Arabidopsis thaliana: one gene and its partner. Each later gene encodes a partner of the first gene's protein in a complex. Each region holds a gene or a part of one and is shown in the gene's direction. Other genes may lie near its edges.

What was found. Proteins that work in one complex are often made in the same cells at the same time.
Region 2: the proteins of AT2G02050 (region 1) and AT5G47570 are in contact, whole or in part, in a cryo-EM structure (PDB 8BEH), measured with the Arabidopsis thaliana proteins. Residues at the interface, in NP_565280.1 of Arabidopsis thaliana: Met10 (codon at 2,851), Ala12 (codon at 2,857), Thr13 (codon at 2,860), Gln14 (codon at 2,863), Met17 (codon at 2,872), Leu24 (codon at 2,893), Gly25 (codon at 2,896), Arg27 (codon at 2,902), Asp28 (codon at 2,905), Met29 (codon at 2,908), Arg69 (codon at 3,028), Met70 (codon at 3,031), Ala72 (codon at 3,037), Met73 (codon at 3,040), Ile76 (codon at 3,049), Arg77 (codon at 3,052); in NP_568684.1 of Arabidopsis thaliana: Ser103 (codon at 3,771), Lys104 (codon at 3,774), Val105 (codon at 3,777), Pro106 (codon at 3,780), Phe107 (codon at 3,783), Thr108 (codon at 5,045), Pro109 (codon at 5,048), Arg110 (codon at 5,051), Tyr112 (codon at 5,057), Pro113 (codon at 5,060), Tyr114 (codon at 5,063), Leu117 (codon at 5,072), Glu120 (codon at 5,081), Leu121 (codon at 5,084).

What each region holds. Positions count from the first base shown.
Region 1 is NC_003071.7:487,201-493,938, forward strand, and holds AT2G02050 (NADH-ubiquinone oxidoreductase B18 subunit), read left to right. Parts: upstream 1-2,751; 5' UTR 2,752-2,823; coding exon 2,824-3,135; 3' UTR 3,136-3,174; intron 3,175-4,557; 3' UTR 4,558-4,858; downstream 4,859-6,738. Other genes in the region: PTR2 (peptide transporter 2), read left to right, coding at 342-398, 654-971, 1,050-1,606, 1,682-2,507. UniProt on the Arabidopsis thaliana protein: Accessory subunit of the mitochondrial membrane respiratory chain NADH dehydrogenase (Complex I), that is believed not to be involved in catalysis. Complex I functions in the transfer of electrons from NADH to the respiratory chain.
Region 2 is NC_003076.8:19,290,921-19,297,969, reverse strand, and holds AT5G47570 (NADH dehydrogenase ubiquinone 1 beta subcomplex subunit), read left to right. Parts: upstream 1-3,169; 5' UTR 3,170-3,303; coding exon 3,304-3,441; intron 3,442-3,516; coding exon 3,517-3,603; intron 3,604-3,689; coding exon 3,690-3,785; intron 3,786-5,044; coding exon 5,045-5,101; 3' UTR 5,102-5,383; downstream 5,384-7,049. Other genes in the region: AT5G47590 (Heat shock protein HSP20/alpha crystallin family), read left to right, coding at 1-25; ASG7 (uncharacterized protein), read left to right, coding at 776-3,022. UniProt on the Arabidopsis thaliana protein: Accessory subunit of the mitochondrial membrane respiratory chain NADH dehydrogenase (Complex I), that is believed not to be involved in catalysis. Complex I functions in the transfer of electrons from NADH to the respiratory chain.

The sequences.
Region 1 (6,738 bases):
TGATATCAACAACGTATTGATGATGTATTGTTTTAGAAACACATATATGTAAAAAAAAAATTCTTGATTAGAGTGATATCAACAACTTGAGACATGGACAGGTAACAGGTTGATCCACAATTCTATCTTTACGTCATAATAATAACAAAAAATTCGTAAAAAGATGAGTTTTGTTAATTACTTCTCTTATTATAATCAAAGTTTTGATTTTTATTTTCCAATAAGTCGCCGGGAAAAGTAAAATAAAAAGCCGTCACGTCTCCGATAAATAATAGAGTATCGTTAGATAGGTAGCTTCAACGTAAGGAATCTAAATTGGTTCAGCTCAAAAAACGAAAACGATGGGTTCCATCGAAGAAGAAGCAAGACCTCTCATCGAAGAAGGTTTAATTTTACAGGTTTGTTCAATTTCAATTAATCACTTAGGTTAGCGAATTTTGATTTTACTCAATTCCAAAATCTTGACTTTAGATTGATCTTATGCATTTTCTTTCTGGGTTTATTGAGATCTTTTCTGGGCAATCACTGTTTTATCTAATTGATGATTCCAATGTTTGAATTTTGCAAGTAGATATAGATCAAAGTTTCGAGCTTTGATACAGTTATAGTTTAGTTAGCTAATCAAAAATGTTTTGTGAATTTGTTTTAAGTAGGAAGTGAAATTGTATGCTGAAGATGGTTCAGTGGACTTTAATGGAAACCCACCATTGAAGGAGAAAACAGGAAACTGGAAAGCTTGTCCTTTTATTCTTGGTAATGAATGTTGTGAGAGGCTAGCTTACTATGGTATTGCTGGGAATTTAATCACTTACCTCACCACTAAGCTTCACCAAGGAAATGTTTCTGCTGCTACAAACGTTACCACATGGCAAGGGACTTGTTATCTCACTCCTCTCATTGGAGCTGTTCTGGCTGATGCTTACTGGGGACGTTACTGGACCATCGCTTGTTTCTCCGGGATTTATTTCATCGTAAGCATTGCTTCTCTGTGTAATGTTTGGTTTGGTTTGTTTGCTCCTGATTACTGATAGGTTTTTGTATTTGTTTAGGGGATGTCTGCGTTAACTCTTTCAGCTTCAGTTCCGGCATTGAAGCCAGCGGAATGTATTGGTGACTTTTGTCCATCTGCAACGCCAGCTCAGTATGCGATGTTCTTTGGTGGGCTTTACCTGATCGCTCTTGGAACTGGAGGTATCAAACCGTGTGTCTCATCCTTCGGTGCCGATCAGTTTGATGACACGGACTCTCGGGAACGAGTTAGAAAAGCTTCGTTCTTTAACTGGTTTTACTTCTCCATCAATATTGGAGCACTTGTGTCATCTAGTCTTCTAGTTTGGATTCAAGAGAATCGCGGGTGGGGTTTAGGGTTTGGGATACCAACAGTGTTCATGGGACTAGCCATTGCAAGTTTCTTCTTTGGCACACCTCTTTATAGGTTTCAGAAACCTGGAGGAAGCCCTATAACTCGGATTTCCCAAGTCGTGGTTGCTTCGTTCCGGAAATCGTCTGTCAAAGTCCCTGAAGACGCCACACTTCTGTATGAAACTCAAGACAAGAACTCTGCTATTGCTGGAAGTAGAAAAATCGAGCATACCGATGATTGCCAGTAAATATCCGCTTCATTGCTTTCCAGTAATGTATAGCTTTACTTGGTTTAACAAGTTATTCTGGTATGATGCAGGTATCTTGACAAAGCCGCTGTTATCTCAGAAGAAGAATCGAAATCCGGAGATTATTCCAACTCGTGGAGACTATGCACGGTTACGCAAGTCGAAGAACTCAAGATTCTGATCCGAATGTTCCCAATCTGGGCTTCTGGTATCATTTTCTCAGCTGTATACGCACAAATGTCCACAATGTTTGTTCAACAAGGCCGAGCCATGAACTGCAAAATTGGATCATTCCAGCTTCCTCCTGCAGCACTCGGGACATTCGACACAGCAAGCGTCATCATCTGGGTGCCGCTCTACGACCGGTTCATCGTTCCCTTAGCAAGAAAGTTCACAGGAGTAGACAAAGGATTCACTGAGATACAAAGAATGGGAATTGGTCTGTTTGTCTCTGTTCTCTGTATGGCAGCTGCAGCTATCGTCGAAATCATCCGTCTCCATATGGCCAACGATCTTGGATTAGTCGAGTCAGGAGCCCCAGTTCCCATATCCGTCTTGTGGCAGATTCCACAGTACTTCATTCTCGGTGCAGCCGAAGTATTCTACTTCATCGGTCAGCTCGAGTTCTTCTACGACCAATCTCCAGATGCAATGAGAAGCTTGTGCAGTGCCTTGGCTCTTTTGACCAATGCACTTGGTAACTACTTGAGCTCGTTGATCCTCACGCTCGTGACTTATTTTACAACAAGAAATGGGCAAGAAGGTTGGATTTCGGATAATCTCAATTCAGGTCATCTCGATTACTTCTTCTGGCTCTTGGCTGGTCTTAGCCTTGTGAACATGGCGGTTTACTTCTTCTCTGCTGCTAGGTATAAGCAAAAGAAAGCTTCGTCGTAGTAATGCTGTTATCTATCTACTTTCATTACATACAAAAGTTTGTTTCTTTCAACTGTAACTGTCTCTGTATCAATAACAACATTGCTGTGTACTTTTCCTTTCAATTTCAAAAGTTTAAGTCGCATTTGCAATATTATAAACAATTCAGGGTTCGAATACTAAATTGAGAGAAATTGTCCATAGGCTTAGTAAATCAAATGGGCTTTTGGCCCATATCAAACGGGCACAAATATGACCCGGAGAAGAAGAATGTTCCGGGTCAATAAAATCGAAGAAGAAGAAGAGAGTATCGTTGTGAGGTTTGGGGATCGCGAAAATGGAGGTTCCAGGTTCATCGAAGAAGATGATCGCAACGCAAGAAGAGATGTCTGCAGCTAAAATAGCACTTGGATCTAGAGATATGTGCGCTCATCTCTTGATTCCGCTCAACAAATGTCGTCAGGCTGAGTTTTACCTTCCATGGAAATGTGAAGACGAGCGTCACGTTTATGAGAAGTGTGAATACGAGCTTGTTATGGAGAGAATGCTTGCGATGAAGAAGATCCGTGAAGAAGAAGCTTTGGCTAAACAGAATAAACTACAAGGAAACGCTGCTGTTCCTCTTATCCCTAAAACTGCTAATGCTTAGGATTCGATTCCTTCTCCAATTTGCCGATTCCAGATTCCGGTTAGTCTATAGTTTTTCGATTTCTTGTGTTTTGGTTGATTTGATTGAATTGGTTTGTTTCTTCTGCTACATGATCAGATCTTCGTGTTCTTCAAATTCCAAATTAGGGTTTCATTGGGAATAAATGAGATTGCTTGTTCAATTAGATGTCTAATGCATTATCTTGGTTTTGAATTGTGAATTCTCTCGTCTTAGCAATTTTGTTGCCTCTGTTGTGAACATTTGACTACAATTGGATTCAATTTCTCTTAGACTGCAATCACAATTGTTCTGTATCAATCATGTTAGAGAAATGTCTGGACTTTGTACTTCTTGTTGTAAAGTATCTCAATGATATCTGAAGTTTGGATAAGGAAAATTCCATCATTGACTGGATTTTCTACAGATTTTGTTTTTTCATGATGTTTCCTTTTCAAAGCTTAATAGATAAGTCTTTAAGTAATCAGTAGCACTAATTTGCTGGAACCTTTAGACTATATAAGGATTTAAGTGTGTTTTACTGATTAACAGGACACAATTCAATTCGTTAGACTATATCTTTTATGTTTGCAAGTTATATGTTCGATGAACTTGTAAATAGTGTCTCAGATATCATGACTAGCAATTGTTACAGTGACTTTGTGTTACAGACCCGTAGAGGATATAAGAGTGTTTCACTGCTTAACAGGACACAATTCAAGTCGTTAGACTATATCTTTTGTGTTTACAACTTCTTTTGCCCGTTCTCTGTTTTAAGATCTTGTAATCTGATATCATGACTAGCAATTGTTACAGTCGCTTTGTGTTACAGACCCTTAAAAAGGATACAAGAGAGTTTCACTGATTAACTAGACCCAAGTCTATTCGTTAGACTATATCTTTTATGTTTGATTTATGATCTCACACTTCTAGGCTTTGAAATTCTTATGATTGATATATATCTTTTGTGAACTTGTAAATTGTGTCTCAGATATTCATGGCTAAGAATTGGTACAGTCACTTTGTGTTACTTATAAATCCGTGAGAAGAATTGTATAATTACAGCACCAACTACATACCTGTGTCTAAACGTTTTCTGCTTTGTTGTTTTGGTATTTTATGTCACAACAGCTACAGAACAAATCTCTTAATGTCTCTCATCTTCTTGTTCTCACTTGCCATTGAGTACTCTTGCATGCTTGTGTGATTCTTTCCTTTTTCATATCGTTCTTATGTGTTTCACTACTTGTTCATTGTATATGCCATTATGATTTGACACCAATGGGTGTTTTCTCTGTTATAAAGATAGACCCCTAAATACTTGGTCTAAGATTCTTCAACATGACAATGATTTTGTTTTCTCCTGATTTGATTGTTTATTCATTCTTCTGAGTCCTAATTCACACTCTGAAAATATTTGGACAGGGATTCTCTGGAACTGTGAAGATGGTGGGGACTCTGCTTTTCAATCTTTTTCTTCTTGCTAGTGATGAAAAATTGTTGCTACATTTTCAGATGTGAATGTTCAAGATTCTCTATCTTTTTTTTTTTTTTGAACTCTTTTTAACTTGGAGTGGTTTCCCAAAAAATAAGATGCAAAACTCATCTTTTTGTTGGTTTTCTATCTTTAATCTGTGAGAAATAAAAAATATATATGAGATCACTGACACATTGCTTATAGAACCAAATCACTTCACTGGAAGAACCATCTAACGAAATTAGTGAAATACTAGAAGTCTAAACGGTAATGGTGATTAGAGGAATCCGACAGAAAATGAGTTGTCATTTATGATAGAATCAAAAGAGGATTATAGATACGAAAAAAAGTATACCACTTTGTAGTTATATATTCCTTGATATGTGGAAGGCATAAAAACATGGAACAAGAATCGTAGAAGTTACGATAGATTGGCTCTCATATTGAGAGTCATATTGATAGGAGGTGGTTGATGTTATCTTTAGGTTGGCCGCGAGCATTTTTGGTAAATCTCATCCGTAGTTGCTTCAGAAAAGAGGACTTGTTGATTCTAGAGATTAGTAGTTTAAAAGGGTTTGTGCCTTTGTTTCTGCTTTTAGTTGTTGGGTTCGACCTCTTTCGATTTAGGTTTACAAATCTCTGTTTTGTGTTTTCATTAATTACGTTTTCCTTCGGCTTTGACTCCGGAAACATTTATGTCGTTCGCCGGTTTTAGTTTTCCTTTTTTGGGGGTTGTATTCTACCTTGGTTGCACAACAAGTTTATCAATAAAATTTCATATGAAAAAAAAAAAAAAAAATTGCAAAAGTTACGCTTTTGAAAGAAAAAGAAAAAAAAAAGGAATAAAAGAGGTTATGCTAAGAAAACATATCAAATCTAATTCCAATCCTTAAGGATGAAAAGTCAAGAGTTGTTTGGTCCTACTTCCAATAATTATGCACTCACACTACTCTAAACCTTTTCACATAACCATGCAATGTCTATATCTATCCATGTGTACATTGTTGTATATTATATTCTCTGTCTTGTAATTTATATATTAGTTGTGTAATTTTTTTGGTGGCCCAACCATTCCCAAATCAAACTTTTAAACAACTCTCTTTCACTTTTGTTTAATGTTATTTTAGGTGTGAAAAGGCTAATTCTTCTCTGTTCTCTCTAGGTGTTTCATGGATTACACCTTTTATATTACTTTAACCATCTTAGAATTTGCCTTGTTCTTGCATGTGCTATGATTGAATTCAATCAATGGGTGATGAGAAAATTGACCCAATAGAATAATAAATTAACATTGATAATCGTCGAATGGTTCGGTGAGATTTGCACATCCAAATTTTCCACACACAAAAAAGAATGTTATGTTTTTTATAGTCCAAAATCCAGTTGGGTTACATTATCTTACATGTATGTACAAAGTTTTATAATATTAATAAAAAAACAAGCAAAGAGAATTATTGAATGTTTTGATTGTGGTAAAAGCCATGAATCATGGACCTCCACAGTCAATTACTCATTCAATTTCTCTTGGAGCTATTTGTCTCTGCCAGACTCATTTAATGTATTATTTTCATTTGCTTCCACTTTCTCTCATACATGTATTAGTACTAACCATTTTGATTTTTGAGACTTGAACTCTCGGTTAGACATTTTATCCATCCATGCAATTGTGTTTATCGATCAATGATCATCAGTAGGATAATAAAAGGCTTTATTAGTGAATATAGTAAAATTGTTTCACTGATAAAACCTTTTGGAATGTGTTTACTTGATTATTTTGATCAATGATCATAACCTAGGTAGCTTTTTGTATTATTCTTCTAGTCAATATATAGGTAATATAAGCAACTCGTGTGTCTTTGACAAGCTGGTGACTGAATATTATATTTTAATTACCGTCTAATCAAACACTAAACCATTTTTAAAATCGTTAAAGCGAATTTTGGCATATATGCAGAGAATTCCACGTTTTTATAATAATTTAGAGAATGTGCATAAATGAGAAGAAAATGCAAAGCACAATAGGCTACATTTTAAAGGTCAATGACCTCACTTTGTGTGTAGATTTTATTATTTGATTGTTTTTTTCGTTGGGTATAGAAATGTCTGATTTATGTGTGGAATAAAGACGA
Region 2 (7,049 bases), on another chromosome or scaffold:
CAACAAAAGAAACCCTATTGAATGAATGATCTCTCTACCTCTCTTTTAGCTAGTACTCTACTATATTTTCATTTTGGGACATTGACTAGTTTTCTCTGTTTAAGTTGAGACATTGTGTGTGTGAGAGAGATTAGTCCTGCTTTTGTGTTTGCTATCGAATCAAGTGATTCATGTCATTTGTTTTCACAATCTTAACTCTTTTGTTCCCCTAAGCTGAATTCAAAAACAAACAAACTGGATCCCTCGAATAACCTGATTGGTGATGATGATTGCTCAAAACCCCCTAAAGCTGATTCCATGGAATGTCAATTGTTTATAGATCCTAGGACATTTGATCTGTCACTCAACAGTGCCTAATTCCTCAATTGAATCGAAATGGTCATGAAAGGAGTGTGATCATTTTATCAGACAAGTCAAAGTTTCTACTCTTCATCATTATTAACACATCCAGTAACAAAACTAATTGGGCCGATTATTAGGCCCATGATAGGTGGATCACTCCAGGCCTTTTCCAAACTCCACGAAAGCAGGCAGAAACACTTTCTTCCCGTGAGTTTTTCCCGGTTGATCTGCGATTCAACAGTGTCTATCCGAAATTTAGTTGAAATGGTCATAGAAGAGTGTAGTAGAAAGGTTGGAATTTGTGCTCAAAATCGGTCAGAGAAGTCAAAGTTTGCTACTTTTCCAGTCTCTAGAATGATGTCAACAAGATCACTCATTTCCATGGAGTCAACTTGAAGAAGAGCTTTTTCGATCAAATCCTTGAATTCGATTGATGGGTATCCTCGGCTGCGACGCCCATGGCGATTTGAACGATGCAGAGTTCAGCAAACCCTTACCTTCGATTGGTATCTACGTTGCCGTAGCTTCACTCATCTGTGGTCTAGCCATGGCCGCCGATCTTATACACGGCTTCCGACACCGCAAATTCTGGTTTCCCTGTAAGTTCTTCTCTCTCAACGCCACTTCTCTGACTTTCATCGCTGTCGGAATCAAACTCTCTGTGGATCTCAACACTTCCATGCCGAGTCGTCAGGATCAGTTAGCTAAACTCAGCAGCACCGTCTTTGTATGTACTGTGATGGGTAATTCGATGCCTTCTCTGGGTATTATGGACAACAATGATCTCCTCATGAATCTTATGGCTTTAGGGATTCTTGTCATCACTGATGTTGTTAACATCTGTATTCAGTTGGGTACTGGTGCGATTTATGTTTTCTCTGAGGAACATTTTCTGGTCGTACTTCTCATGCTTCTTATGCTTATGATCTTGTGTTTCTCGGCCACCACAGTTCCCACTACGAAAAGAATCTTGGAGAGTAAGTACAATAAGAGGTACGACGTTGCTATGAAGTGTCCTTTGGCTACAGAGAGAACAGTTGCTAAGAAAATTCAGCAAGATTTGTCAAAGTTTTGGATGATGGCTCATACTAGTAGCCCTCAATTCGTGATGGCTCGTTCTGTCACGTGCACTGCTTCTGGTTTCTTCTGTCTCCTGAGTGCCATTACGCTTGGTGAAGCTATGGTTAGGAGTTACTTTTTAAGACCAAGGTCACTTGGGTTCTGCCATGGAGATTCTGATTACAAATGGTCAACTTCTCTGGTTCTTGTTTGCCAGACTACTACTGTAGCTATAGGGACCATTGCTCCTGCGATCAGATGGTTCACGGCTGTGAACTTCAGGTGTCCGATTAGAGGAAAGAAGTATTATAGAGATGAGTTTAGAATAGAGAGTTACTGGACACATTGGTTCTCAGAGAAGAAGCAACATCCCTTAAGCCTTTGGATCCTCAAAGAACGCAGATACAGGAAGACTGCACACAATGCAAAACGCTGGATATTGGATGTATGTATTGTGATACAGTATGTGATTGTGTTTGGTAGCAAAATTATCCGTTACATCTCGGTATCCTGTGTGGGTAAGATCTTGTTGTGCTGTCATTTCGCCTTAAGGACCAGTAATACTATCACACACAGTGAGTCAGAAAAATCCGATTCAAATCCAAGCTCGAGACAGGACCTAGCGAGTTTTGTCCTGCACCTTGAAGGAGAGGACCCGCTGGTGGATGTGATGGTGCGGAGCAACCGGGAAGCGACAGATCATTGGATAGAGAAGGGCAGAAAGAAACAACCAGTGAATCTGATAGAGCTTTTGGAAGCAACAACACCCATTTCAAAAGGATTTGAAGGGATTGCAGAGTTCGACAGCAACAAGGTGGCTTCTCTGGCCCACGGAGAACCGCCCAATTGTTGGGCTCTCCCGCTTGTAACACTCACAAGTATTGCTGTTGCACTTCCCGACATCAAGCCCTCCTCCCTGAAGAAGTTACTCAATGCTGTCAACGAGGCACTGGAATATGTCAACAAGTTTGAATGCGTCCTGGATACCGGAGGAGAGTCAGTTAACCTCAGGAAAGCTGCTGAGGTCGTTTGGCTAGGTGTTGATCTCTATCACAAGTGGTTTGATGTGGATCTTCGGAAACTATCAAAGCAACAAAGAAATCCAGAAGAAACCCTTCGGGAGCTGATGGAAATCGCGAAGAAAGAGTTCTCAGAGTCATGGCAGATGAACCTGATGGTATGCATGAAGCACAAGCCCTCTCACTGGCCCATCAAGACTCTAGCAGCCAACTCCATGTACCGAATCTGTCAAACAATTCTACTAACTTACGAATCAAGAGACTATGGAACAGGGGAAGCTCTGTTGAGAAAGCTGGAAAGCACAATATCAGACATAGTGTCAGGTTGCTTTTGCAACGTAGCACAAGTGATATCCGTCAAGTGTTTGGTGTCAGCTGTAGAAGTAAGGGAAGAATCAGTAAGAGGAGCAGCTCTGCATCTGGGAAGAACAGAGAAGATTCTAGAGATCTTAGAGAGAAGAAGGTTACCTAAATTGAGATGTGATCAGATGAAGAACATCGACGAATGGAGAGCATTCTACAAGATTAACTCTTGCGAATGTGATAATAACAACAAGACAGTTTATCCCGACTCGGACGAACTGCGCCTCACTGTTGAGTAGTTTATAGATATGTTAAAGGTTGTAGCTTTTTCTGTTTTTGTACCTTTGTGTATTCACCACATGAATCTCTTTGTATATAGTAAGAATCTGAAGCTTTTTGACACACTTGAAGTGTATGTGTTTGCTCATTTCGTTGGTTTTAAAATTCGTTAATCGAAATTACAATATTGACCTCTTTTAAAACGATGGCGTTTCAGGGAATCGTTTCAGTGACTGCGTCTTTCTTCTCTCTCTATCTGTAATTTGATTGGATTTTGGATCGAAACCTGAAAAGAGCGAAAATGGCTGGAAGATTGAGCGGTGTTGCGTCACGAATCATGGGTGGAAACGGCGTCGTTGCCCGATCCGTCGGTTCTTCTCTCCGTCAACGCGCCGGAATGGGTCTCCCCGTCGGCAAACACATCGTCCCCGATAAGCCGGTGAGTCAAATTTCTGTTGTAAATTTCTTGTTAGATTCTTCTGAAAATCTGATGTTTACAAATTGTGCGGGTCAGCTATCGGTAAACGACGAGCTGATGTGGGACAACGGGACTGCGTTTCCAGAGCCTTGCATAGATCGGATTGCTGATACCGTCGGAAAGGTTTGGTTACACGATTTCTAATTGCTGGTGATTCTCGGTGTAAAAAGAGATTGCTTTTCTGATTGATTTTGGATTAATGTGAACAGTATGAAGCATTGGCATGGTTGAGTGGCGGATTAGGGTTCTTTGTTGGTCTCGGTCTGCTCGCTGTTTTGAACGACAAAGCTTCTAAGGTTCCATTTGTAAGTTCAAAGCTTTCAACTTTCGAAATTATAATCAAGCCCATTTTGTTGTCCTGAGTGTGATGATCGAAGTCATGATTATGCTAAGATCTATCATCCCTATGCAGCTGTTATTATGTATGTTGTTCAACTCTGAATTTGATACATATGTTTGGCATTGGCTTATTTCTGAGAATAGGTTTTTGCTGGAATCTTCAGAAACTCATTAACTAAATGTGGACAGAAAACATAGGAATCTACAAAATATGCTCGCGTAACAGAGAATGTGTCAATGTTCTTTTCTTTATTTGCTGAATTGCCGCAATATTTAGCTTTCAGTTCTGCATTTTGTCTGTTTATGAACATGAACAATTCTTGCTGTTTGCTTTTGCATCTGACCAAAGTTACTGGACTAGATGAATCTTATGTCCGCATTGCTTCCATAATCCTGTCTTAATTAATTTGAGCATGTACGTTGTAGTTAGGAACACTTGAAAGAAACACCCACAGTGTTCTTGGGAACTCGGTAAATGCTTAAGCGTATGCTAGAGGTGTATGTACCAGCAGCTATAATCTATGTTTTAGTTTTCTTAGTGTCCACTGGCCAAGAATGAAAAACTCTGTATCAAAGGTTAATAGGTTATACTGTGATGAGTCTTGTTTTGAAGGATTCCGAGTAAAAGACTTAGGCCTAAAAAAGGTGCTCTGGCTTTTTGTCTAGACATTGGTGCTGTTCATTTACTCTAGAAGTTGTTCTGTGGCATCTCTTAGAGGTGTAAGAAAGACATGAAGGCTCTTTGAGGTGCATGAGCAGCTAAAATCGATGAGTTGGTTCTCTTAGTGTCGACTGGCCAAGAATCATAAACTTTGTACAAAGGCTATACTATAATGAGTTTTCTTTAAAGGACTTCGAGTTATAGAAGTTGAACACCACACCGGGGCTAAGAAGTTGATCTATGTCTTCTTGTCTATACATGAGTTGAATTGCTGTTCTTCTTTTTACTCCAAATGTTACTTCTCTTAGTGTCCGTTGGCCAAGAATCATAGACTTTGTATCAAAGGCTATTATGATGTGTCTTGTTTTGAAGAACTTAGGGTTATAGAGGTTGAACAGCACTCCAAGGCTGAGAAGTTGCTCTATATCTTCTTGTTTATACATGAGTTGAATTGCTGCTCTCTTTTACTTTAGAATTTGTTCTGTGGCATATCATCTCTCTGCTTTTGTGTCATTGTGGAACTTGTTTTCCATATCATGTTAATCTCTTACTGTGTTGTTGCAGACACCGAGAGTGTATCCATATGACAACCTGAGAGTTGAGCTTGGAGGAGAGCCATAGAGACCCATCTAAGTGATCTGCTCATCAAAACAGGAAGCGTGTTTTCTTCACTGCTTTGTTCTTTAAAATGTTTGTTGTTTCCTGCTTAGAACTTGAAGACAAAAGAATAAAAAGAAGACTTTGTTTTTATTATATGCGTTGTCTCTGTAATTAACAGTGACCAGTGAGAGAGATCCATAAGAGAAGACTTCTGGTTCAGGAAATCTTGAGTTGTGTTTTGTAACTTTTAGAAAACAATCGTCTCGCAATTCAGTTAGCGCCATGTGTCGAACCAAGTTTGAGCCTCGTACGACTTCAATCAAACAAAGGCTACAATAAAAAGAAAAAAGAAAAAAACAGAAAGACAAATTAAACCTAATGGGGCATGTGAGTGGGACATTGAGAGAAACTCGAACTTGTTCGTATCCGTCTTGGAATTGAAACTTTGGTTTTATATCCATTACGTATTCGGTATTTCTTTCCTCTTCTGTATATTATTCATATCTTATACGCATTTATTTAGTTCTCTTTGTTTTCTCTGATGATTATCTCTATCAAAATTCATCACGACAAGTAGTTTAGTAAGAAATTCGTATTTGTAAACATAGATCTTATTCTTACGGGTAAAAATTAATATGATAAAAGATTGGTGTGACTTGTCTAAAATTTTTATACTAAGAAGAATACTTTAAGAAGCTCTAATTTGAAATTTGATAAGTGACTGTGGGATGATGAATTGGATTTGACTTGTACAAATACACGTCTAATGTAGACTTGTCACAATAAGGGGCAAGTTTAGAGACTACATAGTCTACAATGCAGATGATTAAAACTATAGTTGATAATCATAGAATCTTAAATAAAAATCATAGAATCTATGGACTGAAACTTTCCAAGTGATGGAATCAAAGACAGCCACATGAGTCAAGGATTTCTTTCAATCTTTTCAAATATTCCATAAGAGTAAATAATAATAGTTTCATGATCAAAATCATCAATGTGATCTGCCTATGTGTCATTTGTACCGGCTCTTGTTCAACCTGACTGTTTTGGACCCCTTCAAAACAAGATTGTGATTGGTACCACACCTCTATTTTTCTCTCTTATTATGTTATATCCAGTTATATTTGAGGGAATAGTTCTTATAAGTCTTCCTTCTCTTTGTTGGCAAACTGGATATAGCAAATCTCATCGTACGTATATCTTTACATGCATGTGTGTATGTGTGCTTATCTTCTTTAGACCAAGTGCATCTATATCTCTTAGAGAGATTTGACAGACAAGTTAAAAAATCCAAATACATGTCGATTCTTGAACATTTCTAAGAAAATTTGTATCTATATGATTATTACAACAATATGATTATTATTATTAAATTTGGAGGAAAAAGGACAAAAAAAAAAGAGAGGGGAGGGTAAGAACCAGGGAAGTTGGGCTCTGGAGGAGTACCAAAGGCTGCATATAATAACGTGTCTCACTCGCTCTCTTTACTCTTGCCAACTATCAATTTGGCTTTCAATTCTTTCTCTTTTGTCCTCATTTATTTCCATATTTTTCAACATTTCTATATCCTCTTAATTCTAAACCATAAAAAAGGATTTATATATCAATTCGAAAATGATTATGTTTTTCTAAATATTTCGTAATATGTAGCTTATTTAGCAAAAGAATATACTTTGAAATTTTAGTTATTCTACTATCCATTTGACATATTAATCAAAGTTACAGGCTTATGGATTGTGGATAAAACGAAACCAATAAATGTTAATGGAGAAGCTACGATCAATATTATCTACAAGTTATAACTCTTAAGTTTACATATTTTTAATGATTAATTCCCTATAGGCTATAGCACTTGGATTATATGACTACTGAATAATTTATTAGCAAATAGATTGTTATGATTACTTGTCATCTTAATCTCTAGTGTCCTTTTATGGGTCATCAGATTCTAGAGTCCAGACAAAAT